Linked DNA regions of Daphnia pulex. The protein of the gene in region 1 purifies or fractionates together with the protein of each later gene. This does not show direct contact. Links are inferred from orthologs where the notes say so. Each region holds a gene or a part of one and is shown in the gene's direction. Other genes may lie near its edges. The genes, in order: syntaxin-18-like, neuroblastoma-amplified sequence-like, RAD50-interacting protein 1-like, sec1 family domain-containing protein 2-like, vesicle transport protein USE1-like, synaptosomal-associated protein 29-like and sec1 family domain-containing protein 1-like.

The links.
Region 2: the proteins of syntaxin-18-like (region 1) and neuroblastoma-amplified sequence-like purify together in Homo sapiens (co-immunoprecipitation; 5 studies listed by BioGRID and IntAct, counting the BioPlex papers as one, with this or other methods). This does not show direct contact. The link is inferred for Daphnia pulex from reciprocal best matches to the Homo sapiens genes STX18 and NBAS.
Region 3: the proteins of syntaxin-18-like (region 1) and RAD50-interacting protein 1-like purify together in Homo sapiens (co-immunoprecipitation; 6 studies listed by BioGRID and IntAct, counting the BioPlex papers as one, with this or other methods). This does not show direct contact. The link is inferred for Daphnia pulex from reciprocal best matches to the Homo sapiens genes STX18 and RINT1.
Region 4: the proteins of syntaxin-18-like (region 1) and sec1 family domain-containing protein 2-like purify together in Homo sapiens (co-immunoprecipitation; 3 studies listed by BioGRID and IntAct, counting the BioPlex papers as one, with this or other methods). This does not show direct contact. The link is inferred for Daphnia pulex from reciprocal best matches to the Homo sapiens genes STX18 and SCFD2.
Region 5: the proteins of syntaxin-18-like (region 1) and vesicle transport protein USE1-like purify together in Homo sapiens (co-immunoprecipitation; 4 studies listed by BioGRID and IntAct, counting the BioPlex papers as one, with this or other methods). This does not show direct contact. The link is inferred for Daphnia pulex from reciprocal best matches to the Homo sapiens genes STX18 and USE1.
Region 6: the proteins of syntaxin-18-like (region 1) and synaptosomal-associated protein 29-like purify together in Homo sapiens (affinity purification with mass spectrometry; 3 studies listed by BioGRID and IntAct, counting the BioPlex papers as one, with this or other methods). This does not show direct contact. The link is inferred for Daphnia pulex from reciprocal best matches to the Homo sapiens genes STX18 and SNAP29.
Region 7: the proteins of syntaxin-18-like (region 1) and sec1 family domain-containing protein 1-like purify together in Homo sapiens (affinity purification with mass spectrometry; 5 studies listed by BioGRID and IntAct, counting the BioPlex papers as one, with this or other methods). This does not show direct contact. The link is inferred for Daphnia pulex from reciprocal best matches to the Homo sapiens genes STX18 and SCFD1.

What each region holds. Positions count from the first base shown.
Region 1 is NC_060027.1:1,471,757-1,475,731, reverse strand, and holds the start of syntaxin-18-like, read left to right. Parts: upstream 1-1,175; 5' UTR 1,176-1,208; intron 1,209-1,918; exon of another isoform or gene 1,919-2,045; intron 2,046-2,120; exon of another isoform or gene 2,121-2,175; coding exon of another isoform or gene 2,176-2,206; intron 2,207-2,267; coding exon of another isoform or gene 2,268-2,479; intron 2,480-2,592; coding exon of another isoform or gene 2,593-2,757; intron 2,758-2,917; coding exon of another isoform or gene 2,918-3,292; intron 3,293-3,404; coding exon of another isoform or gene 3,405-3,523; intron 3,524-3,618; coding exon of another isoform or gene 3,619-3,784; intron 3,785-3,875; coding exon of another isoform or gene 3,876-3,975. Other genes in the region: F-box-like/WD repeat-containing protein TBL1X, read left to right, coding at 2,176-2,206, 2,268-2,479, 2,593-2,757, 2,918-3,292, 3,405-3,523, 3,619-3,784, 3,876-3,975. UniProt on the Homo sapiens protein: Syntaxin that may be involved in targeting and fusion of Golgi-derived retrograde transport vesicles with the ER.
Region 2 is NC_060028.1:6,573,763-6,577,262, forward strand, and holds part of neuroblastoma-amplified sequence-like, read left to right. Parts: coding exon 1-25; intron 26-90; coding exon 91-1,156; intron 1,157-1,229; coding exon 1,230-3,500. UniProt on the Homo sapiens protein: Involved in Golgi-to-endoplasmic reticulum (ER) retrograde transport; the function is proposed to depend on its association in the NRZ complex which is believed to play a role in SNARE assembly at the ER. Required for normal embryonic development.
Region 3 is NC_060023.1:2,168,669-2,172,881, reverse strand, and holds the start of RAD50-interacting protein 1-like, read left to right. Parts: upstream 1-1,413; 5' UTR 1,414-1,507; coding exon 1,508-1,648; intron 1,649-1,712; coding exon 1,713-1,954; intron 1,955-2,024; coding exon 2,025-2,198; intron 2,199-2,260; coding exon 2,261-2,407; intron 2,408-2,471; coding exon 2,472-2,941; intron 2,942-3,007; coding exon 3,008-3,363; intron 3,364-3,430; coding exon 3,431-3,563; intron 3,564-3,631; coding exon 3,632-3,752; intron 3,753-3,812; coding exon 3,813-3,868; intron 3,869-3,942; coding exon 3,943-4,052; intron 4,053-4,117; coding exon 4,118-4,213. Other genes in the region: uncharacterized protein LOC124197333, read left to right, coding at 54-205, 272-629, 692-807, 871-1,074. UniProt on the Homo sapiens protein: Involved in regulation of membrane traffic between the Golgi and the endoplasmic reticulum (ER); the function is proposed to depend on its association in the NRZ complex which is believed to play a role in SNARE assembly at the ER.
Region 4 is NC_060017.1:7,886,077-7,890,094, forward strand, and holds the start of sec1 family domain-containing protein 2-like, read left to right. Parts: upstream 1-1,218; 5' UTR 1,219-1,604; coding exon 1,605-1,696; intron 1,697-1,773; coding exon 1,774-1,855; intron 1,856-1,946; coding exon 1,947-2,180; intron 2,181-2,245; coding exon 2,246-2,392; intron 2,393-2,812; coding exon 2,813-3,025; intron 3,026-3,087; coding exon 3,088-3,483; intron 3,484-3,540; coding exon 3,541-3,663; intron 3,664-3,728; coding exon 3,729-3,924; intron 3,925-3,986; coding exon 3,987-4,018. UniProt on the Homo sapiens protein: May be involved in protein transport.
Region 5 is NC_060018.1:697,881-700,754, reverse strand, and holds vesicle transport protein USE1-like, read left to right. Parts: upstream 1-1,249; 5' UTR 1,250-1,341; coding exon 1,342-1,440; exon of another isoform or gene 1,441-1,457; coding exon of another isoform or gene 1,458-1,460; intron 1,461-1,530; coding exon 1,531-1,659; intron 1,660-1,715; coding exon 1,716-2,324; coding exon of another isoform or gene 2,325-2,371; 3' UTR 2,372-2,374; downstream 2,375-2,874. Other genes in the region: translation factor Guf1, mitochondrial-like, read right to left, coding at 1-110, 177-568, 630-817, 906-979; ATP-dependent Clp protease ATP-binding subunit clpX-like, mitochondrial, read right to left, coding at 2,799-2,870.
Region 6 is NC_060025.1:1,294,317-1,297,271, forward strand, and holds synaptosomal-associated protein 29-like, read left to right. Parts: upstream 1-1,150; 5' UTR 1,151-1,269; coding exon 1,270-1,590; exon of another isoform or gene 1,591-1,662; coding exon 1,663-1,764; exon of another isoform or gene 1,765-1,833; coding exon 1,834-2,259; 3' UTR 2,260-2,455; downstream 2,456-2,955. Other genes in the region: TBC1 domain family member 10A-like, read right to left, coding at 1-49, 120-216, 293-774. UniProt on the Homo sapiens protein: SNAREs, soluble N-ethylmaleimide-sensitive factor-attachment protein receptors, are essential proteins for fusion of cellular membranes.
Region 7 is NC_060019.1:10,712,662-10,716,876, forward strand, and holds the start of sec1 family domain-containing protein 1-like, read left to right. Parts: upstream 1-1,415; 5' UTR 1,416-1,575; coding exon 1,576-1,606; intron 1,607-1,670; coding exon 1,671-2,132; intron 2,133-2,211; coding exon 2,212-2,301; intron 2,302-2,362; coding exon 2,363-2,498; intron 2,499-2,569; coding exon 2,570-2,912; intron 2,913-2,977; coding exon 2,978-3,113; intron 3,114-3,199; coding exon 3,200-3,384; intron 3,385-3,444; coding exon 3,445-3,524; intron 3,525-3,585; coding exon 3,586-3,724; intron 3,725-3,789; coding exon 3,790-4,005; intron 4,006-4,071; coding exon 4,072-4,152; intron 4,153-4,215. Other genes in the region: tol-Pal system protein TolA-like, read right to left, coding at 1-13, 80-144, 224-257. UniProt on the Homo sapiens protein: Plays a role in SNARE-pin assembly and Golgi-to-ER retrograde transport via its interaction with COG4. Involved in vesicular transport between the endoplasmic reticulum and the Golgi.

The sequences.
Region 1 (3,975 bases):
TTGCGAATAAATTTGGAGTCCAATTCCCATCCAGCGTAATCGTGCAAAGAGCGAAGGAAAAACCTTTTTTAGTCGGGTCAGATTTCATTCATCTAATATCCCAGTGTCCCAAATCGATTATTTAATTAAGCGTAAGAGCTCAATCGCCTTTTTCTGATCTTTTTTCAGAGGGTTAGATAACGGATCAATTTTTGTTTGGTCGCCAACGGAAAAGGAAATACAACCAAGTTTGTTTTTCGATTGACATTCCCACGATTTGCATAAAATCTTATTTTCGCCAAACAGACGCTTTCTGGCATCGACCGGCTATGAAGGAAAATTGGTTATCTGGTCCACCAAGGTAAATTTGAAGGTAAAACGAGTGAAAGACTGGATGTCTTAAATTTCTCGCAAGGTGTTTAGAACTGGGAACAGATCATGACACCTTTTACCACCATCAGGGTTTCACCACCGGTGCCCAAGCCCAAAACTCTCAAACTAAACCTGCTCAAATAAAACAAACAACAAAAGTAATATCCACCAACAACGTAAAAATAATAAAATAAACTTTCACGAGGAAGCAATGTAGACTCACCATGAAAAGAAACCTCATGGGATGCATATTCTGATGTCTGTCGAAAAAAGATATAAACTGACTGGCACTGCATGGTGCAAAACCCTCCTACAATCCTTTCGTGCCATAGTTGATATTGTCATTTAGTGAAACAGTTCACAAATAGTTACCTTTCATCAAGTACCCAACACGTTACAATTCTAGAATAAGTCAGGCGCCATATTTTTCGTACAAATACTGCAGACAAAGGGATGTTTACCTCATCAGCATGTGTGTCACTTCCAGCCTGGTGCAGATTCAATTCACCACCGAAAATGTTGGTCACAGATTTTGCAAAGGAATCACAATGAACAGTACAATCTTTAAAGTAATATCACGCTGCTCAACACAAATGAAGACGATGGATGCACACTTTCGAACATTGTTCACTGTTCAGTGAACTTGTGAAGTAATGGCAGTAATGGTGTGCTCTCGAAGACGAATAGCTCGTCGTTCATGGGAATGGCGCCAAAGAAAAAAATACATTGCAACGAACTTGGCAAACGACTGGTAGATGGCGGACTAAGTTCCACAACAAACTGACGACGAGGACGTTTGAAAAATAGAACGGCTGTTGAGTGTTGGCAGATTTTTGCTCAAAAATCATTGTCAAACGGTAAGTTAAACAAATAAATTATAAAGAATATACATTACTTATTCAAATCAAAATATTTGTTGTTGGAAACACCGATCATGATGGATATCACGTCCCTGTTCAAGGTCTCCATCAAGACGGTCCGGACACGCAATAAAGCTAGCTGAAAACTGAAGACCCAAATTGCATTTTCCCACGACCATCCAAACATTTTTCAAAATTCCAAACGAAAGCCAAAGAGATTGTCTCAAATGTGGCCAAGTTGAAAGAGTTTTAGACAGCTAGAATTGAAAAGCAATCACGCTCGTGATGTGAGTGAACGGATTAGATAAACAAAATACCGTGATATCGGCAAAAGAGATGCCTATCAATGGACTCTGAGAAAGTTGTTATAATGTATCATTGGTTGTTGAAAGATAATTGAAATCAATTAAGTTGTCGGGAAAATGAAAAGACACGAGTTTTTCAAGTTTACTTTCTTTTGGGGTTATTTCAGTGGGTAAAAAAAATATAGTGGGTGTGGAGAGGAAAGTCGTATGGTGTGAGGTAAGGGGAGTGAGAAAAGATTTTTGTCAAAGGATTAGTCAAAATGCAGTTGCGTATCGAAAATTACAGCTATTTTAGCAACCTCGAGACAAGTTTGAAAAACAAAAAAGATTCCAGACAGAAAAAGTCAAGGTAAATTTTCCTACGACCCCGTTCAAATCCACCCCCTTCTTACCCCCTTGAACGTTTCTCTTTTGTTTTTCAGTTTTACTTTTCCAGTTCCATCTTCTTTAATTGCCACTTCAGTTTCAACATTCTTCGAGGCATCGTGCTGCCAGTCTCTTTAAATATTACTCATCTATCTGCGCATCGGTGAAATTTTTAAGATTCTAAACTCTATGGATATTCCAGCTTTAACGCTGTAAAATAATGTTTCGTTCATTTTAGTTCGCTACTTCTAAACGTGGTTTTACACTTCCGTTCGTCACTAAGGAGAGAGAAAATGACAGATGCTGTAAACTCACCAGGGAAAGGTAAGACAAATATTTATAAACTTGTCCATCGTTTTTAATCAATGTCTGATGTCCCATCCAGGTTTTTTCAAACCAGTTGAGTTCTCAATTACGAGTAAACTAGATGTGAGAAGTTCCAGTTTCCACCCCATCGATCCTGTTCTGGCGTGCGGCTTAGTTCAAGGAGGATTAGTTTTCCTTCGGGGAACTAATCACTCCACACCGTTTGAGAATTGGGAGATTGAACCCGTATACAGCCGATACGAAAGGACAATTTTATCCGTCCAATGGAACGTAAGTCTGTGAATCAAATAATTGTGTCCGTGTTTCACCCCATCAAAATCGTGTGCTAAATGTTACAGTGTTAATCCTAAGTTTCTATTTTTGTTTTTCTGTTTGGCGTAAAGGTCAATGGAACTAAAGTAGCTGCTGGCTCCGATAATGGGACTGTCATTATTGTGTCTTATCCAGGCTGTGGCAAACAAACATTCCGAAGAAATGGACGATCGAATTTCCCGTTAATTTTTTGGCATCCATTTAACCGGGACATGTTGGCTAGTTATAACAGTGCGGTAAGTGAAAAAAAAAAAACAATATTCATGTGCTAACTTAGTAGTTTGTTTAAGTAATGCGGGAAGGGAGAATTTCAAATTAAAAGTCGGTGTACACGAGAAACATTCACATTAATTTATTGTTCACCAGAAATTTTAAGTTTTAAAATTGTATCTCAAGTTGGACACAAACGAGGTGATGATTGCCAATTCAGCAGCTGAAAACCTCCTCACCCACACCATCAAATCAAAATGGAACTGTCAGACCCTGGCCTGGAACTCGCACAATCAACTCGCCTTTGGTTACGACGATGGAACGTTTGAAATTCACGAAATAGAATTGAATAACAGTCAAATGAAAAGCCGAATGGTCCAGAAAATCCGTCACGATCTGGGTGATCATGACAAAGCTGTTCACCATTTTTCGCTTATGAATTCCAGGGACAATTTTTCGCTTATGAACTACCAGGGCCAAACACGAACTTTCGTATCGAGTATCGCCATTAACAAAGAATTTGAACTTTTGGCTTCAGGTGGAACAGACTTTCGAGTCAAGGTATTAGAACTACATACGTTATATTTATTGGATTTTAATAGTCGATAGACAATTATTATTGTCTAAGTTTTTAAATTTAAATGAGTCAATATTTAAACAATTTTAATTGCAGATTTGGTCATTGGGCAGTAAAGATCCTATTCTTGTGTTGGATGTCGATTCCAATTGCAGAAATTTGGTATGGAATTCTGGCATCAAAGAAGAGATGACGACAAAAACTTTTATTGCATGGTTAGACTGCCTAGATTATTTTAATCAAGTTTTAAAAGATGCAAGTTTAAATTGACATTCTAATAACCACAGCTTTTTAATTGGCTTTTATTCAGCGGATTAGAAAGTGGAAACGTTGTAATTTGGTATCCATTTGATCATGAAATTCAGACACGAAAACTTACAGGACATGATCAGATCCATCAATTAATACTTTCACCTGACGGACGCTATCTCGCAACAACAGACTATTACAAGAAAGTGATTATTTGGTCTACAAAGGTAAAATATTTTTGATAGAAATTCTTAGTTGGATCAAACGCGACTCACGTACATTCTTTTCCCGCAATTTCTTTTTTAAATGAATTTTCAGAGTTGGAAGAGCATATACATTATACCCTCATCAGAGTATATGTATCCATACATGATGACATGGGACGCGGCCAGTTGCAAGCTAGCAATTTCAGAGAGAA
Region 2 (3,500 bases), on another chromosome or scaffold:
GAGCTGCGGACATCGAAAAACAAAGGTTTGTTTTATTTAATTTTAATAAATACTGATAATATTGATGACAACGTTTGTTATATTTGACAGCATGTTGGTGGAGAACGCGTTGGATTTCATCAAACTTGGCCTAGAAAGAAACGTGCCTCACTTGGAACGCATCCATCATCAGTTATTGACGCTGGAAACACTTGTCTACGACCTCCAGCAAGAACACCTCAACTTGGAAAGGCTCGACGCCATGAGCGAGCTGAGCGTTTGTCAACTAATCATGGGTGGCTGTGATGTTGATTCTTTTTTACCGAAACTTCATCGTTGGTTGATGCCTTATTTACGTCGCCTGGATACTCTACAGCCTGGTCGTATCAAGGAGCTATTACGCGGCCTACTCGTAGTCAGGAGTCAAGAAAATCTGGACTGGGCACTGCAGGTTTGTGCCAATTCGAAGACGGATCAGGCCAGCCCGATTGTCGTCGACGCAAGTTTCTTGATATCGCTAGCTCTGGAATGCATCTACGCCTGCCAGAAGAACGACCAACTTGAAGTGGCCATGAAAATTTACGATTGCTTACCTGAGCGACCAACTGGCTCCAAAGCAGATCCGCTACTAACCCATCTACACGATCAGTTGGATCAGCTCCAATCTCATTTAGAGGCAGCTGACATTCTCGAAAATCACGACGTGGCCATAACACCTGCGACTATATTGGCCAAGCAGAACGATGTGGAGCAGCTTGAACAACTTTTCGTCCGTTTGACCAGGACGGCTTTAAGAAAGGGCGATCCATCGACCGAAAATCGATGGAAAGAATTGTTGGAAGATATGCTGGAGTTGCAGCGTAAAGTCTTCTGTTGTATCAGCCCCCAACTGTGCTACGAAATTCTCGTTGGTAGCTTACTTTCTTCGGCTAAAAAGGAGAACATCGTTTCTGCTGGTTTGATGCTGCAGCTTCATCCAAATATCGATTCCCACACATCACAGAATCACATCAGTTCAACGTCGAAAATTCCATTTGGCCGAAGCAAAGAATTAATTCTCCAAGCAGCTGAAGAGTACATTAATTCTTCTGAAAACCTTTCGGATCCCAGCTTAGACTTAGCGAGCTATTGTCTCAATTTAGTGACAATTGACGACGAAACTATTCAAGAAGAAAAGGTGTTAATTTGTCATTTCTTGTTTTATCAAGTGTGACTTATGTCTTATGATTATTATTTTTTTTTCGCCCTAGGATCTAATTGGCGCTATTCAGCTTCTGTACGATTATGGATTGGATATGCCACCGCTCAAGATAAGGTTGTCGCGAAATCGCCTTTTTCTCATTGATCAAGTTTTGAAACAAGCTAACAAAGCTTACAAGAACTCGTCTAGACTCCTCCGACTTGGACATCTACTCAGAGCTTGCAAAGGAAGTTCGTTAACTAATAATGAAGATCGTCGAAAAGAACTAGAAGGGCATATATATGTCCGAATTGCTGAAACGGCAATCATAAAACAAGATCTTGAAGTAGCTGGCCAAATGTGTGGAAAACTTCGTTTAGCCAATCATGCAGTCGGATGGAAGGTCTGCAGCCAACTAGCCAAGCTTGATGAAGTGACCGATTTGAGTATGAGGATAGAATTCATCTCCTTCTCTTTAGTCTATTGCCCAGCTGAATGCATCGAAGAATTGCTACAATTGCAATGGAAGTTGGAACAAAAACAACTTGAACAGGAATGCAAAAAACAAATTAAAATGTACATGGATTACGAAAACGGCAATGATAATTTCTTGAAGTTGGTGTATCCAAAATCAGTCGAAGACTATCGTCAAGAGATGGATAAAAATAATCAGATTCCAACTACCACAACTACCAGTGGTGGAAGCGTGTCGAAGCAGGTGTTGCAGACAACTGCGGAAACGACAAAGCAATTGGTGAATGTCGTCAAGAGCAGCTTGAAACTAAAAGAAGCTCGGCCAGCAGAAAATGGAGCAAGAAAAACGCCCACCCCTAGAACATCAGAAGATAATAAAGAATGCATCCGTTGGGGCTTATCCGTGTTCTATTGGGACGTCTGGTGCAACAAAAGGATAGAACTTCACGAGAGTCAATTGGGTGCTTCCTATCGGCTTTTTTCTCTGCCCGAGATGGTCAATAGTGAACTTAATCTTCTCATGTGGTCCTGGCGAATGCTGGTGCTGGACAGCCTGGAAAAACCTTACGTCAAAAGCCGTTCAAGAGACGACATATTATCCAAGTTAGCCGAATGTCTATTTCCTTCTGATTGTTTGCTGGCCTTGGGCCATCTATTGGATCTAGAGGCGACCGAAGAAGCATGGGAGCCTTTAACGCGTTTACCCAGCACAGAGATCACTCTGCAGATGGCTGCCTATTATTTCTCTCTACGCATGATGCGTTTCTCTCAGGACGAATCCTTGGGTGCTGATGCCAACATGGTCACCGCCCGTCCGCGCACTCTGATCCATCGTTGCCTGACCCTTCCCGAGACAGGTTTGTCGAAAGATCAGGTTGTGTGCCGCAACCTTCTTAAACGAGCTCTACGACTTCTAGCCGATGTGTCTGAAGCGCAGCAACTACGTCGATTGGACGGAGGAGTCGATATTAATCGATTCACGACGGACGATATCTACAAGCGAGATACAATTGTAGGTCTTGCCATCACAACTGATTCCGGCGTCTATTCAGCAGCCGTACGCTTGGCAGCACATTATGGCGTTTCTGAATGGGAAGTGACATTTTCTCATCTGGCAGCTGTGTTCGCTGAAGAGAAGATTGCTCCAAGCTATATCGTGAAACACATGGACGAATACCGCATACGCGACATCTTATTCAATGACCCACAAACACTCGGGGCGAAGATGGTGGACGTAATCTATCCGAGTATTTCGGGTCGAGATTATGGTCGGCTAGTCCTTTTCTTCCAGTTACTCAATTCGAACCCAACGACTGCTGCATTCACGGAGCCCCCCGCTCCTGTATACGTTCAAATTCTGCGTAAGCTGGAATCGATTAAGGGTGTTGACGTGAAAAAGCTGACGCGATCCGTTCAAGGTTTTGTGCAAGAGATTGAGAGCGTCGCCACTGCGGAAAACGTTGGCAAACTAGCCAAGCTCGCACAACTGATATCGTCTTCGGTCAAAGGAATGTCGCCGGGCGTAAGCCAGGCTACCGTGCATTCAATCTGGATTCGGAAATATTTTTTCGCGTTGGCCGATGAAGGCAAAAGTGTGGCGGTCTCCGATTGGCTTGATCGATTTGAAAGTTGCAAGACTCACGTCACCAAGCTAAATTCAGAAGAGTTCTTAAACCTTGTCGATGGCCTTTGCTTCTCCGATCGTGCCTTGGACTTGCTGACGCTTGATATCCGGACAGAAATTTGTCGTCGATGTCTGAAAATCGCCAAAGAGCGCGGCAAAAGCAAAGCTTCCAGCGACGCTCTAGTCTCGGACGACTACCAGGCCCGCATGGAAAAGTGGGCGGAGCATTTGGAACGTTTGAGG
Region 3 (4,213 bases), on another chromosome or scaffold:
TCCAGAAATAAAGTTAAAATGGAATCAGTCTTGCTCTAATGATTTGAATTTAGCTTTTGTAGCGAAACCAGCGAATAGAGATCGAGAGAAATGGAAGGGATTTGCAATCATTAATGCAGATGAGAATATGATGCAAAATATGGAGTCTGCTACCCAGTTACAAGAATCACTGCTTTCGGTCATGGAAACCAAAGTACGATTACCAGTAAGACAAACAGTGATAACCTTTCCTATTAATGTTTAAATTGACAAGCAATTATTACATTTGCAGTGCATAGTGTGCCAAGGTCAAAAAGGTGCTATATTTTGTAGAATAACATATACGTCTGCCCTAAATGCCAAAGAAAAACTTGCAAACTCCCGATTTAAGCCCCCATTCTATTTTGTGGTTTTTCCAAATGAAACTGTTTTCTATTGCATTAAAAAATCCATCCCTGATATGATCGCCGACACCCTGATCAAAGTGTATGGAGCAACTCGATTGAGAATACTTCCTCTTGAAGGCAATGATTTCCGTTCCCTAAGACAACTGCATTTAAACAAGATTAGCAAAGGAAAGATCTGTAGAAGACCTGTCAAAACTACACATCCAATCGATGCAGACGTCGAGATGAAAGAATCTCATTCGGGTAATTTGTCATTATTCTGGAAGCCAATTTTTTGAGACATAATTCTTGTTGTTTGATTGCAGATTTAAAAGAAGACATAGAAGATGAAGATAGACCATGGAAGAAAAGAAAAGATGAATACTATTCTGAGCATTTCTATCCTGAGAAGGATCCTGTCATAACCAAATTCACTGTTTCGGTAAAATTTTGTTTCTCTTTCTAGATCCAGTTCACGCCTAATTTTTTATTTTCTATTGCTTAGTCTTCGTCCAAGTTCTCCGGTACCCGGACGACTTCGAAACTTAAGTGCGACCTTAAAGTAACCTTACGATCAGACAACCTCCTCGAGTTTTTTAACTATTCATTGGACAAGGGAATTCTCACGTACCCTTTAAACCCGTTTTTTGAAAACATCGTTAATTTAGGGCGCACCTCAATTTCAACAAAGGATATAGAAGAAAACTAGACTGTAATTGTTGCTACATTTTTCATTTTCAAACTGTATGATACGGTTATTACGGTAAATTTAAATGATTTTTAAATACACTAAATTTGAATTCATTCTATTATCGAAAAGTGTTTTGGTAGAGTGATTGTTTCGGACTTTCAGTCTCGTCTCGCTCGATCATAAGTTATGACAAAGTAAGAGAGTAAAAAGCATAATTATTCATAATTTTCATCAGCTACTGGATTTTCATGGATTTCCGCTTATTCTCTGCTTATGACTATGAATTATGAGTTAATGAGTTGTGTTCAATTTATCTTGCAACCTCGCGATTTATTCTGACACATAAACAAGCAGACAGTTTTCAATAGCAAATTGTAGTGTGGCTGTGGCAGCCAGTGAGCAGCAAACAAGTTGTGTAAACAAACTTAATAAATTACACATATTTATTGAGATGACGGAGGAAAACCCGGATTTGCAAAGAAAAATTGTAAAAGCACTCAATGAAGAAATTGGATCAGATTTAAAACAACTTCACAAACTCAAAGAACTGTATGATGAAACCAAAACCATACAAAATGATCTGAAAGAGAAAGTAAAATAATCTTGCTTCACCTGTTTTTCCAACATCTATTTATCTAATATTTATCTATTTTCAGCTTTCATTAGTTAGCACAGAAGCTCCAACAAAAGTTCAAAACACCTTGAGGGAGGTTGAAGAGCTCTCAAAAAAACTAGTGACTCTTGAAAAACAATACTTGGACTTGAAAGTTGAAGCCCAATCACACTTAACATCTGTCGACACATTTCTAGGAAATTTCAGCAGTCAACTACAAGAAATAGAAAGACTTGAACTGGAATATTCCTACCTGAAATGCATCAAAACTGTGGAAGATCTAAGGTATTCAATTTAATAAACATATAAACCCCATCATAAAGTATTAATCATGTTTCATCACTTATGATATTAGTGAGAAAATCCGACAGAGTTTACAGTCTAACCTAGATTTGGAAGCTGTTGAGTTGTACAACAAACTCGTACAACACAACTGCATGCTGGAAACATCTCAGTGTGAAAATCTAAAAAAGTTTGTTAATGATACTGTAATTTTCTGGTTTGAGATGATCAAGGAAAAACTAAAAAAGTATAGCCCATTTCAATTAAAGATTTATTATACACGTTAAAAAATGTTCTTTTGAAAAACAGGGAAATGCAAGATACTCTTAAACTGATACAGTGGCCTTTGATTTCAACGAACCAGGAGGTTTTAAAAACTGTCCCTCCACCTGATGTGATGAGCAAGTTTCAGTTACAATTTCAGTGCCTTGGCAAACTGGAAATCCCATCCAAACAGTCAGTTCTACACTGGCCCAAGTACAAGTTTGCGGATACATTTTGAATTCTTTATTTCTTTCAGGTTGGAAGATCCAAGTGTGGCAGATCATGTGATTTTGTCTAGATTTACTCCTTCCAGCCTAGCCATCCAAGAATTAATATATCCTCTATTGAAAAGATTTTTATATCATTTTGGTGGTAATCGACCAACCAACCGTCGTGACAAACCCGAGTGGTATATGCGCCAGATTCTTCAGTGGATTGGAGATCACGCTAAATTCCTCGAAACAAACGTTCAACCCTTGTATGCACCTAATGATGCTTTAACGGATTTTTCACGAGGACTCGTTCAACTTGCTGTCGAGAAACTAGTAAAGGACACACCGGTTATCCTTGAGGATGAAACCATTTTGGCACACACTATCGGTGAAGTACTCAGCTTTGAGAGTGAACTTCGATCCTCTTACAACTACCCATCCTCACAGCCGTCAGCTTTACTTGTTCTCTCTCAGCCCCAGTTTTTTACTCGATGGATTGCCTTAGAAAGAGCTTGTAAGTTGACTAATGAGAATTTCCTCGCATTCTACTTAAACTTCAATCATTCTGTTTCATTCATAGTCGCCGTAGAAAAAATGGACATCCTTTTGATTAGCGATAAAGCCTGGACTTGCGTCTCTGGAGACAATTCCGAGGCAGAAGACGAAGTTCGATTAACTGAGTGTGGCGAAGGATTTCTCCAAATGCTGCTGGCCATTACGGATCGTTACAAGATCTTACCCCAACCCGGTCATAAGTTGCAGTTTTTGGATTTACAGCTTGAACTGCTGGACGAGTTCCGTATTCGGTTGCTACAGTTAGCCCGTCAAGACAAATTTCACGAATTATTCGCCAATCGATCATCGCCCAATATCAGCCCTATCCTGAACACGCTGACGGCTGTTATTAATGTTCTAGATGACTGGACTGATTTGCCGGTAATAATTTATCCAAATTATGAATTATCGTATAATAATCGTTTATGTTTCTCTTTTGTGATGCAAGTTCTTCGTTCAACTGCATAGTTATAAAGTCCAGACGGAAAATATTGAACGTTTAGCTGCAGAAGCTATTAGCAATGATGAGGCCTCGCTTCCTTGGCTTCGTACTCAAGCTCATACTAATCGAGACGAAGAAGGTAAACAAATAGTCTTTTCAATATTATTTTTCCGAACAAAACATTATTCCGAATTTGATCATCAACAGGATCGGTATTTGACAGCATCATTGAGCTTTTAAAGAGAATGCAGGAAGATTTGCTGCGCCGTCTGGTAGAGGCGGTGATGCTCGAAGTGAAAGCCAAATCGCAACCCTACAGACTTGACAAGTAAGTAATTGAAATAATTTTTTGAATTGCCTTATTATAAAAAATGGAATTGTCCGGTAGGTGGGCATCACTCCCCAATCCGGATGAATTCATTCAACCCAGCCTATCGCCAACAGGTCAGTATTTAGATTCGTAGTTTTTATTTGATAATCCGTTTTATTATTTGACGTCTTTGTTCTATAATAAATAGGATCTGCAATGCTCCAGGCAGTAGCGATTGGCTTGTTGTGGCTTAAGGATTCCCTGGCATCTACTATGTTTGTCGAAGCGTGGCAGAAATTGGCCTCTCAAGTGAACGACGTATGAAATGACTGTGCCTGTTTTTATTCAATCAGAAATTTTAACGAATCAAACATTAATTCTAGTTCCTCTTGGAAGAGCTGATCCTACAGCGGCAGTTTAATGAAGGAGGCGCTTCTCAACTTTGCTTCGACATCCAGCAGAATCTGATACCGCTTTTT
Region 4 (4,018 bases), on another chromosome or scaffold:
AAATCATAAACAAGTTGGAACTTGTCAAGATCATCCGCTAGGTTCGCTGCTTAAGTGTGCGGCCTTCTTTCACGATATTGGTAAGTGGCAGAGTTACTAAATAACAACGTTGTTTTCTCTTCCCTGGGTTCTCCCCATTGAAACTCACCTGACGTCTGACGGGTGGTGGTGGTGAGGTGGGATACGAGGAGGGAAAGCTGAAGAGCATAAATAAGAAAAAAGCCGGAACTTCGTCATAGCCCGGATTACATGGAGTCGACCTCCAAACGTCACACGCACAAACTTTTGGTCGTGAAGGAGGAGGAAACAGAATCGGCCGCCAGCAGCAAAAAGGGGAAATGTCCGCAATCAACTACAACAAAAGAGATTGAAAAAGAAAAGCATACGAATCCCAAGGCTAACTAAGGTTATATATCGTTGACGTCACAAGGCCTGCTGGGGTTTATTTGGGAGTGACCTCCATTTATTCATCAGTCTGAGACCAATTTTTGAACAATAATTCTCCTGTTTCACTTTTGATTTGATAATACACAGCAGTTGAATAATCGGTTATTTACCTCGTCTTCAAGCTCTTCTCGTAAAATGCAAATTAAGCGGACTAAATCTTATATAATACATCCTGGATTCATTGAGGTTGTTTACATAAATTACTTTGACCCGCAATATTGTATTGAATATTATCTTATCGGAACCGACGTCAACGTCGACCAATTTTCTTCAATCAGGACTTGAATCAACAATAGCCAGACGCTACCCAACTATCGTTACTTTTAACCAATGAGAAATAATGATTTAGTAAATAAAGGATCAAAGCAAATGTCGAGTCATTAAGAAAAAAAAGCTGATTCCCCGATGACTCACAGAAGACCAGAAATGATGAGTAATATTATACAAAGATAATCGACACTACCACTGGAGCTACCTAGAAATTGCGGTACTATTATATTTTACGGTTTCTGGAAGGTCATAGAAAGAAGCGAAGCTTTTTGTTTCGTCATTTTTGAAATTCGTCATTGACATTTGCGTCATTTTTCAAGAATATTTCAAGACTGTGAGAGAGTGATCAGGCGAAATGACTGAATGTACATATTTCTATGATTATTCTACCCTAGCGATGGATATACAAATATCTATGTCACCCTTGCAAATGCGTTATTTTGAAAACGTGTTGAGATGCCAAGAATGAAACAGTAGCTCCGAACTTTTAGAGGACAAATTCAGATGTGAAAAAAGGGCTGAAGGCCAACTCTCACTCATCGATGTTTTTTGAGGCCAACACGCACAAACCACAATCATGTAATCGTTTAACTTTCGACAAAAACGTAGCCGTTGCGCTTGATGTCAATGTTATTATTACGCGCTTTATTGCAGTCGTGAATGCGAATTTTGGCAGTAGATTGTTTGGAGTATTTAATCGATGTTTTTACCAAGTTAAATTTCCAACTAGTTGGGGATGCTGTTTAGTATGTTTTGTCGTGTTGACATTTGCAGACGGCGCAACAGAAATACACAACAAACAATCACCGTCTTTTGTTGTGCGTTTGTCAACAGTTAGTACAGCCATTAGTTGAAAAGTTCTCAAGATAAGATTATAGCGAATTGCAATGTTGAGATGGCAAGAGTTTGGTCAAGCGTGGTGGGCTGAAGCCAGAAAGAAAGTGAAGAATGCAGCCGTCTTTTTGGATCCGTTGGCGTGGTAGGATATTGTCCAAATTTAATTTACTTACAACATAAGAGTTTTTCTACTTTCTATGCCACATTTTTAAAATACAGTGAATGTCTTCACTGGAATGGAGGTGCACCATCTCTTCTGGAAGCTGGAGCAAGCTGCATTAAAGAACTTTCAACTTTCGAAGTAATCACAAAATTAGCCTGAGACATTGCAACATATTATTATCAGAACATGTAACATAAATATGTTTATATCTTTATTTTTCCACTGTTAGGTTGTACCTAAAAATATCAAGAAAGGTGTCTTTATTTCCAGCACAGCCTGGCATGGAACAAACTACAATATATTAGAAAGCCTCATTAAGAAGAGCAATTTGGAATATTGTGTCATCATAACTTCAGCCCATGTGTCTGTACATCATCTTCTTCTGTGGGGTTCGAGGGAGAGCAATGACTCGGAAGTATTGCAAAAGATTGAAGGCGATGTTTTAGGGTGGATGGGGAACATGGTAAAATCGATTCATTGAAATATTGTGCATTTTAAATTTCTTAAATCTTTATCTTCTTTTTTTAGAATTATACTGTGGAAGTTTTCAGTTATCCTTTAAGCACCCTTCATCCAACCAGAGATACAGTTTTAATACCCTCTGCAAAGTTAGCAAGGCCTCTTCTCACAAGTGATTTAGGATACCTAAATGAACAGCTCATTCTATTTAGCAAGGTATCTGGTTTTAATGTTACAGCAGTTTTGTGCTACAATTGTTTTGATTAAGATATCTTTTACCAAGTTTCTCATTAAAAAATTGAAACAAAGTGGGGCACAACACTTTAAGTAAAAAGTGACCTATACCCGATTACCCATGTATCATCGCTTATGAAGAGAACCTGGCTAGATCTCTTAATCGTAACAATATAAGTAAGAAATTTCTTACTTAATTTTGTGTTGAGATTGAATGATGTGAGCAAGCCAAATCTGAAGCAATTCGGTTATTATTAAAATAGCCTTTGAGTGCCTTGTTGAAAAACTTTGGTCCGAGTTAGCGAAAGTGTCTCTGAAAATCATCAACATATATTACAGACGGATAATTGTCGCATAGTTACTCTTTGATAATCAAACCAATTTATTATATTCTATGTACAGCAGGCGGATGCACAAACAGTGCGATCGATAAACGATCTCAGTAATGCAAATTTGCCATTAGAATCGCAAGTACAAGTGCGTCAGCTAGTTCACAACCTTAATCAACTGATACAGCACATCAACGGAAAAGATGAAATTTTCACAGTGGGCCCATTCAGTAGAATAATCGGTACTGAACTTGAAGCTTTAAATGCTGCCAAAACTCGAAGAAAAGTATAGAAATGACAAACAATCCTTCTTTATAAAATAATCAATGCCCTTTTTATTTTTGGCAGACGGCGACAAATAAAGTGTCCGTCATCTTGGTTGACCGGCTCCTTGATTTGGCATCCGCGACCAAGTTCTCTAGTGACAATTTGTACGACCGATTCATCCATACTCTTGACCGGCTTCACGAATACTCTAGTGATGTAGCTATTAACATGAGTGGAAAACCGCAAGGAGATTTGACGACGGCACCTGGCTGTCTAGCACCTCAAACAGATTGGAATGACGGATGGGACATGATGGATCATTTGTTTCACGAAAATTCCCAACAGGCTACAGAATGGTTTACGGATGTTCTGAAAGACAGCTTAGAAGATTCAAACGATCTTAAAAATCTGGGCGATGTCATTCATCAATGCAGCAAGGATTGGGATTTTATTGAAAAGTTTACTCATTTGTATCAGGTACCTCAATATTGGTTTATTCTATTAGCATTTGTTTAATGAGTTCCTCCCTTACAGGTTGGATACGGACTATCTCAGATTCAGAGTAATGATAAAGCAAAACGAATGGACGATTTAGAGGGAATTCGGAAAAGTCTGGTTGAATGCTTAGATGACGAATCTCCGTCTCCTCTCATACAGGTTTTTCTTGAAATTCGTTCAATTTCTCTTTATTTAAATAAAGTGAAAATGTCGATTGAAAATAGGTCTTGCAGCTGTTGAAGACGAGGAAAGATATGAATTTATCTTTGGATGATATCTTGGTTCTGTTGGTCCACTTGTACTCTCTAGCAGGTGACAGACGAAAAGATGTATTGCCCGCTGAGTTGGAGGAACGCTTTAAGAGTCTCGTGGCAGAAATTATCGTCAATGATATTCTCTCTGATGAGCTTCAAGATTTTGGTATTAATGAACTTGCAAATATCAAACTGGAGAGACGCTCATATTAACAAATAATATTTTAGTGGGCGTTCCTGTCGATGAAATTAGAGCGCAT
Region 5 (2,874 bases), on another chromosome or scaffold:
AACAGTAAAGCTCGAAAAGGCTTATTTATATTACAATGTTTCGGAGGAGGAATACGTTCTACAATGGACTGAAGTACCGCGTCTACGTTAAGGCCTGTTTTAGCTGAAATCTGGAAAGAAAATTAAGCAATGAATTTTATATGTAATGAAATAAAAAGAGATAAATTTTATGTTACACGTAAGATATTCTTCGGTTCAAATTCAAACACATTTTTCATTTGAGTAGCTACGCTCTCGGGGTCAGCATTTTTCAGGTCAATTTTATTCATGACAGGAACTATTGCCAGATTTTGAGAAAAAGCAAGGAAAAAATTTGCAACTGTCTGAGCTTGAACTCCTTGATTTGCATCAACTAAAAGAATAACCCCCTGGCAAGCTGCCAATGACCGTGATACTTCAAAGGAGAAATCGACGTGCCCCGGTGTATCGATTAAATTCAGCAAATAGTCATTTCCTTGATAATTATATACTAATGTGGCAGTTTGAGCTTTCACTGTAATGCCTCTCTCCCTTTCTACTTGCAAACGATCAAGCATTTGGGCTTCATGACCTCCTTTGCTAATTGTTCCTGAAAATGAAGAGACAATTACAGAACTGTATTCAGTCAAATAATGATGAATATTGTAAACCTGTTAATTCTAATAGCCTATCTGCAAGAGTACTCTTCCCATGATCAATATGAGCTATGATTGAAAAATTTCTGATCCTCTCGACAGGGAATAAGGTTAGGTCAATTTCAGATTTAGATTTACTGGAATAGTGTTGAAAACTTTGTTGGAGACTCATGTGCTCTGGCAAAAGAAATATTTGTCTCTTCCTAGACAAATAAGAAATAAAGGCAAATCAGTGTGATGCTCCTTCTCAGAAAGAATAGTATTATTTCTTGAGTAAAAAAAATTACTTACCAAAACACATGTTTATAGGATTTGCATCTGCACATTTTAAAAGCATGGCGAATGGAACGTGATTTCCACATCATCAGATTTACTTATTAATCAACTTCTATGTGTAATAATTCCGGCAATGGTTTCTATTTTCTTTTGAAAATAAATAGCAGACAGCAGTTTGCCGAATTTTCCTACAAGCGAAGGCCAGCCCAATACCAATAGCATGGTCGGCCAGCAGCAAAATGTTTTGGAGAATCGACGCATCGAAGATCGAGCGCCAATTGCCATGTCAGAAAAAGTAGCTCGCACCGGGCGGCCTGTATTATTCATCGTGCTCTTCACAACACAATGTTTACGTCAACTGTCTAGGTGGCTAGGTGCTCGTCGCTCTAAATTGCTGCATTTTGGGTTTAATTTTAGGGGAATTTAATCCGTTAGCTAATAGCTACTAAAAATGACCCGAACTCGATTGGAAACAAACTTTATCCGACTTTTAGAACAGTGTAAAACGATTGCCAACAATGGAAAGCACACTGAATGGAGATTTGAGAAGGTAGACTTACTTCTTCAATGGTAATAAGTTTTTCCACCGACAATAACTGAAGCTGGATCGCTTTAATTTGTCTTGCCTCCTGTTTAATAGTATATCATTACACTTGAAGAACAGCTGACAGAATTGAAGAAATGTCCAATGCCACCAAATAAGGATGTTCTAGATGATTACACAAAATCTGTTGCTTTTTTGAAAGGTCTTACCATCACTGAAAAGCTGGTAATTACATCATCATTACATATTTTCTCATAACTTAACTTATAAAAATTTTCCAGCCTTCTGTTACAGATAAAGTTGTTGCTTCTCAGTTTTTGTCCCCTTGTTCTTCTCCATACGGAGACACAGTTTCAAAGGAAATCCGACATAAAGTTGCATCTCAGTATAGCAATCAAGTTAGGGATGAGTTGCTGACCAATAAATTACTTCCAGCAAATGAGTCTGTCTCAACAGAAAAAAATGAAGAATTTGAAAATCCTGCTTCAACATTAAGGCAAAGAAAAACTGAATTACTGAGCACCATAAAAACAAACACCACTCCTACTCATGTGCAGGATTTTGATGGAGTGATTAGTAATGAGCAGCAAACCCAAGAAGAAATCACAAATAATTTGCTTACCATGGCTAAAACCATGAAAGAGCAAACCATGTCTGCAAACTCAATTATCAGACAGGACTTAATTACACTGGAAAAGGCCAACATTCTGGCTGAAGAAAATCAGACAAACCTTCAGACTCAAACACAAAAGCTTCAAGAGAGAAGTGGATTCTGTACCCGTTGCTGGGTTTGGTTGTTTTTATTGCTTGTCTGCATGTCTTTCATAGGTAATCTATTGCTTCATTGTAATGTTGAGGTTCATTTGATGTTAATTTTTTCTATTATCTAGCCATGATTGTCTTCATGCGGTTGTTCAAGAAAAAGAAGACATCCTAAGTATAAAAGAACATCACACATACTAAAAATTAAACAAGGTTAAAACTTAAAAGTTCTTAAATAGGATTCATCAACCACTGGTGCCCTTACTTTGAGAATACAACTACAATTAATGTATTTTGGATTTTTTGTTTTTAAATCATAATATTTTGCTATTCACATCACAATTAGCACAGTTAGTTGTCCCAATTTGTCTCAGTTAATCTAAATCTAAACCTAATTGAAATGAAGTTATATCGACTTTATTGAAGGCTTCGAGTCCCATAAACAAAAAGAAGTTAAAAATAAAACGAGGCAACAAGGGAGGCTTAGTACATTTTTTTAAAATTGTACATATCGACGTAGTCTAGAAATCCCGATATATATACGCCATAAGTAGCCCCGTTGGAAAGAAAACGAAAAGTTGTTGTTTGAAAACAAGTATTATCTAACCCCGTCCAGCTTGGGCTTGTCCCAATTCTTCGTCGTCAACAGCTACTTGACCATCACTGGTAACGCTCTGT
Region 6 (2,955 bases), on another chromosome or scaffold:
CTCTGGGACGGATAGAACTGGGTATTCCTTTCCTACACCTGTCTCTTACCTGTTGATTACAAATAATTGGGTGTTAATAGAAACATGAAAGACAAGAAAAATAAAAGATATTGCCAAACCTTTTTGTATTTGTATGTCATATACTTTTCCCAATCATCTAACATGTTTAACCACTTCAGCTCTCTTTTGCGAAAAATGGCAATCATTGCTGGGTTTCTAAATTGAATTCAAAATAAGCAAATACAATAGTGTTAAACTAATAGGGGATTCAAGGGAAACAAATAAAACTTACATTTCAGTGTCATGACTGAACTGAGATCCTCCAAAGAAACCATATCTGTCGGGGACTGTTGATGCTATTGATCCACCATAAATAACACTGCTGACATCATCATCAACATCGGTTTGATTAAGGGAACCATTCATTGATTGGTTCTTTGTAAGAAGCTGTCTTTCCTGAGATTGGAACTGGGCAATGTCAGGAGCTGATAACACTGCATCATCAACTCCAAGGATCTCTCTGCTGAGCCTGTTTTGTCGTTTTGCTAGCTTCCTATCTCCACTAGGACCCTGTTCACATGAAGGCTGACGGTAGACTGATTCAGAACTAAAGGGTTCTAAATCAATCATATTGATTCGTTCAAGTCTTTCAAGACTTTTTCGAAATGTACGTCTTTCCACAGTTGTTGCACTGCCATCATGGGCTGTTTCGACGTTGCGAAGGAACGGAGATGTTATCACTTGAAGTGATAATGGCTCGTGACGAGTGGCCATTGATTATTTCAAATATTTCGCAATTATTTTATCAGGAAATAAGGCACTCATGATACTGACACGTTCTAAGGACAGTTGCGTGACTTCACACGTAGATATTTTGATCACGGGAAAACAAGTGAAGTAAGTAAGAAGGGCTGCTATGACGAGAAAGAGGTGGGCTGTTCCCTCAGCCTGGTGAAGCCTCGCAACATTCCTTAAATTAGCTAATTTTATTAAATATTACTGATTCATATGAATGAATAATAATAGAGAATTATTTTTTGAAATTTTTAAATGAACTTAAAAATAATAATATGTTTTAATTGATTTGATTTATGTTACTTACAATTTTATTAAATCATTACTTTTGTCGTCGCTAGAGGGAAGACATCAAACCTTGGTTACGACTCTCGGCAGTCTCTTTAAAGGCCTTGACAGCTTCGGAGGGCATGCGAAAGTGAGTGAGCAACAAATAATACATACAAGGAAAAGTGTATTAGTGTCGAAAAAACTATGGCTGGATCCAGTGGGCGTTACGTCAAGTCTAAAGGTTCAAATCCATTTTTTGACGATGAAGACGACGTGGACGACGAAGAATTTCTACAAAGGGCACCCAATAGGTTCAATAACTTTGGAGGAAAATTAGCCAATAGTTTGTCGGGCGGAAATAACAGTTTCCAACCTCTGGACGGAGGAGAAAATCAGAGCGCCGATGAACGTAGACGACAACTTCTTATGGAGAAACAGAAAATAGAAGAACGTACTTTGCAGGCTTCAGGGCGAGCTAAAGGAATGTTGTATGAGACTGAGCAGATTGGAATCTCCACCGCTGAGGTTTGCACATAAGCTTACATTAGAAAACCACTTAAAACTTGATTCATTTTCCCCTTGAAAATACCCAACCAGGACTTGGTAAGGCAGAGGGAACAGTTAGAGAGAACTGGGAGCCGACTGGATGAAATGAATAATTCATTGAGGACTTCAGAGAGACACATACAGAATATCAAGGTAGTCTATCTATATTTTATAGCATTGGTTGGTTGTTTTTTCCTTAACACAGATTTCATTGATTTTTAGAGTGTGTTTAGCAGTATGAAGAACTACTTTTCTAAGCCTTCAGAGCCACTCAAAAACTCTTCTGAAGGGTCTTTGTTAAAGCCTAGTTCCAGTAGTAGTAGTAGCAATCTTTCCAAGGTACTTGAGCAAACATCATCACCGATTGACCGAGACTCACCATCACAGCAACAGCACCCAGCATTGAGGATTAAAGGACTTGAAAATGATTTTAGTCACAAACCTCTTTCCAATGTCGACGAGCAGCTAGAGCAAGATCTGGGTGACATGAGTTTGTCCCTGTCCCGTCTGAAAGGTCTCGCCCAGGGATTGTCGACTGAACTGGAAGATCAGAACACGTTGATCGATCGGTTGCAGACTGGTGCCGACAAGGCTGACTGGAGAATCCAGCGTCAAAATAAAGATATGGAACGTCTTCTGAAAAAGTGAAAACCCCACGAGTCCATGTTGTTTCCAACTTGTGATACACAAAGAATTAGAATTGAATGAAGAAAAAAAAACTCTTTTTGTTTTAAATAAGAAAATCTGTCCCCCTCTTTTTGCGCACCAAGGTAAATTGCCAGCACACTCCCAGTGTGTATATATATTATATATTCATGGAATAATACATTTAGGTGAAACACGGTCTGATAAAAAGAAAGAAAAAAATGATTATTTGCATGAATTCAATTGGGGATAAGTTTACTAGGTATTTTATTAGTATATGAAAATTTTTTCCTGAGAGTGTTTAATCATCCGCAAGGAATTTTGCAGATGTTGTGGAAAGATGAGCGGACGTGGTGATCGTGTTATTGCCTGTTTCACGATTCGATGATCATGAGAACGAAACGAGCCGGACGGTATGAATGGCAATTTTTTTTTTCGTTTTGAGAAACTTGTTTTAGTTGACAAGAACATATCCACACAATGTCCTGATGGGCCAGCTTGTCTTTGCGGATGTCTGCACCAGCTGTTATTACGGTTCATTTGTTGATTTTAGCCGCACACTAAATTGCCATTGTCTTCGTTTGGCGACTGTTTTCTGTTTCCGTTTTACAACAGAAGACCATTGGTCGGAGTTCCAGTTCATACAAACCGCAAACGTAGCACCTTGAAATGTGGAAAAAGGGGAATTGGCCGCACATT
Region 7 (4,215 bases), on another chromosome or scaffold:
ACCCGCGCTTGTCCTTCACCAGTCGAATAAAAAACAATTTTATATCAGAAAATCAGAAATTTTGTAAATTATAACTTACTCGAGGAGTATCATCTGCAGCATTGGTCTTCTCTTCAGATTCAGCACTCACTACGGCGATGAAACCTATAAATCAATAAAATTTAATATAGTCAGATTGATTTTTTATATTACTAAAGATTTAGAAGACAAAATCAAACTGTACCGATTACTGCAATCAAAACTAAAGTGAATTTCATTTTTTTAAAGAATGTAGTTTGTTGACGGAGACTCAAAGCTATAATTGTCCTTCTTGGGCAAATGATAGTCGAAGACTGTTTATCTTACAAACGCAACAAGCTTACCTTATATAGGAACAATTTTCAAGGGATTGATTCTTGGTCTTTAAAGCGCAACGTGTTAGATAATTGCCATTTGTGAAACGGAAAAGTTTACGGAAATAATACGTACGTGCAATAATGTAGGAAATCCTGCATAGTCATAGAGGGAAGGAGTATAATGGCATAACAAATGCTACCATTTACTTTCCATTTCAGTTTTGTCTCTCTGGACTCTCTATGTCAAGTTCCTCGGTTTAAGTAGAAAACGAAAATATAGGCCACACCGAAACAGACACGAAGATAATGAAATGGTCCCGTCTCCCGTCGGCTTATTATTCTTTGCGGTAAATAGGGTATTTGTTAAATACTTAAATTCTTTTAAAAAGAGGACACAAATACAGCTTAAATTATATTATTCATAGTTACATAAGACGCCGATTTTCGTATTCAGTGTTTCTTCAATTAGGAATTTCGTAGAATTTTTTTTATCGCATCTTAATTGAATCAAGCCATTCAGATGTCATGGATGTTAATAACATGAATAAAAATATTATTTTTCTTTTAGCTATCATTTTAAAAAGAACTTTTCTCTTTGCCTGTGATGAAATAAAAGTAAACAGGAAACAAACACTAAAGGGTGGGACACTATTTAACTCTATAGACTTTTAGGCGGCATACATTTTCCGCTCTGATTCCTTCGACAGTGAAAAAGAGGTTTATGTATCGAGGTAACAACTGAAATACTTCGAAATTGATAAAATTTAGAAGGTAAGCCAATGCGGAAATTTCTCCAATAAAGGGCAAGCGTTGACGATCACTAAAGTAAAAAGTGAAACTGATTAACTGACCTTGTTGCCTGACATTTGTTGCTTGGGAGTTAGGACTTGGCTTCCAGCTCCAGGGAGGATTCTGTTACAGAGAAAGGTGTTACAAAAACATGAAAAAGAAGGAGAACGGTTATAATATTAAAACTTTATCAAATAATACAACATCTAAATAATTTAAGCAACATTTTCGTAAAAAGAGAAAGTACCAATCAAAGTTTATGTTGCCGCCGAAAAAAGTAAAAACAGGCAGACAACCTCTTGGAAGCCATCTAGCGGAGAAGAAAAAAACAGCTGCTGACGTATCTGTTTTGACGGATCCGGATAAGTACACGATCTGACCGACATCCAAAATCCAAATATATAATATAACATAAAACAATATAACACGAGAATATTGAACAAGAAAAACCATGGGCTCTTCAATACGAGAGAGACAGATAAGTACGTCTGTTAATTGTTTTCTTTAAAGACTCAGTTTTTCATGCTATACTTTCTGTTCTTACAGATCTGTTGAAGCAAATGATAAATTTCAACCAACCTATAACTAAATCAACTATCATGGAACCATCATGGAAAATTTTGGTGTACGACAAGTATGGACAGGATATCATATCCCCCATTCTATCAGTCAAGGAATTGCAAGAACTAGGTGTGACTCTCCACGTCCAACTACACTCACCTAGAGACCCTGTTCCAGATGTGCCTGCTATTTACTTTTGCCTGCCCACTGAAGAGAACCTAGGACGAATAAGCCAAGATTTACAAAACCAGCTATATGAATCATATTACTTCAATTTTATCTCATCCATATCCCGGCAAAGATTGGAGGACTTGGCATCTGCTGCAATCAATGCTCAGAGTGTGGCCCAGATCTTAAAAGTTTGTGATCAATACCTGAATTTCATTTCTCTGGAAGATGATTTGTTTATCCTCAGAAATCAGAACAGTGACATGATATCCTACTACTGTGAGTACTACTCTTGCCCCCATTGCCACATTGTTTCCTTAAAACAAATCAAATTATAAATTTATCTTATTAATTTCAGCTATGAACAGGGGTGAAATAACAGATACAGAGATGAACAACATTTTAGATGGAATTGTGGATAGTTTATTCTCTTTATTTGCCACATTGGGTAAAAGTTGTTCTATTTTTCATTTATATGTGCATCATGTGCAAATTATTCAATGATGCAGGCACTGTTCCGGTGATTCGAAGTCCTAAAGGAAATGCAGCTGAAATGGTAGCTGAAAAACTAGACAAGAAATTAAGGGAGAGTTTGCGAGATACGAGAAGTGGTCTTTTTACTTCTGATCTAACCCAAAGTTTTGGGTATGTCTGTTTCATAGCCAAATAACCCGCCGCGCGAATTGCAGTTACAATATATTTTTTAAAATTTTTAGATTTCAGAGGCCTTTGTTGGTTCTCCTCGACCGTAACTTGGACATGGCTACACCTCTCCACCACACTTGGACTTACCAAGCCCTTGTACACGATGTTTTGGATTACACTTTAAATCGTGTGGTCGTCCAGGAACCAGAAAGTGATGCCAATCACCATCCGGATAGCCATCGGCACACCCCTTCTCACAAAGCCAAAATAAAGACTTGTGATTTGAACCCATCCGACAAATTTTGGATATCTTATAGAGGCAGTCCTTTCCCAACAGTAGCAGAATCCATCCAAGAAGAACTGGAAGATTACAAAGCATCGGAGAGTGAAGTGAAACGATTAAAAGAATCAATGGTACTGTTTCGATGAATAGAAATTTGTGGCCATTAATTTACCTTATTACGTTTTGTTTTTCAAAGGGATTAGATCCAGACGGAGAAGCCGCTATGAGTTTGATTTCCAACACAACAGCCAAGCTGACTTCAGCAGTTAGCTCTCTACCCCAGCTTCTGGAGAGGAAGCGGCTTTTAGACATGCATACAACCATAGCAACAGGTAAAATTATGTATTTTTTTAAAGGCTTCCTATGAACCACCCATAAATTGACACAAGACTAAACTTACTAACTTTCAATCTTTTAGCCATCTTGGAGCAAATCAAGCAGCGAAAATTGGACGTTTTACTAGAGGTGGAGGAGAAGGTTATGAGCAAAAACGCCTTAGATCGATCTGTCTTAGACATCATTAGTGATTCGGAGTGCGGAACTCCAGACGACAAACTCAGACTCTTTCTGGTCTATTTTATTTGTTCACCTAACATGACTGAGGTAGGGAATAAGCCTCTTTTACAATGATATTTACTTGTTATATTTATCGATTTTGTTTAGTCCGAAACTGATCAGTACGCCGCTGCACTAAAAGCTGCTGGCTGCAATTTAGCAGCTTTGCGCTATTTGAAGCGTTGGAAGTGAGTAATTTCAATCGTGGATTGTTTGACATGTTTCTAAAATTCACTATTTTCAATTAAGGTCGTGCAGCAAGATTGCGACTGGCTCTAGCCAGTACTCGGGAGGTGGAACTAGAACAGTGAACATGTTTACGAAACTTATGTCCCAAGGCTCGAATTTTGTCATGGAAGGCGTGAAGAACTTGGTTGTAAAGAAACATGTAAGCATTTTCTGGTTGAATTACTTTCAAATCAGAATTCATTTGATGAAAATATTTTTCAACAGAATTTACCAGTTACACGGATTGTTGATCACTTGATGGAACTGAAACCCTCTCCAGAAACCGACGATTACCGTTATTTTGATCCAAAGCTTTTGAAACCTAGTGAGGGCGGTAGTACTGCTCCTCTTAAGAGTCGTGCCCAATTCCAAGATGCTATTGTATTCATGGTGGGTGGAGGGACATATGCCGAGTATCAAAATCTGGTCGACTATGCTAAAGTATTGAATCTTTTCTCTCTTTCTTTTTAAAATTTGAAGTTATTTAATTACTTTTTACTTTTCCAGTCGAAAACAGTGGGAGGTAACGCAAAGAAAATTGTCTATGGTTGTTCCACTTTAAATAACGGAAATCAATTCTTGAAACAGGTACTGAAAAAACTCTTAAAGAAAAACTCGTAATCCAAATATTATTATACTTTTTCTTTAACT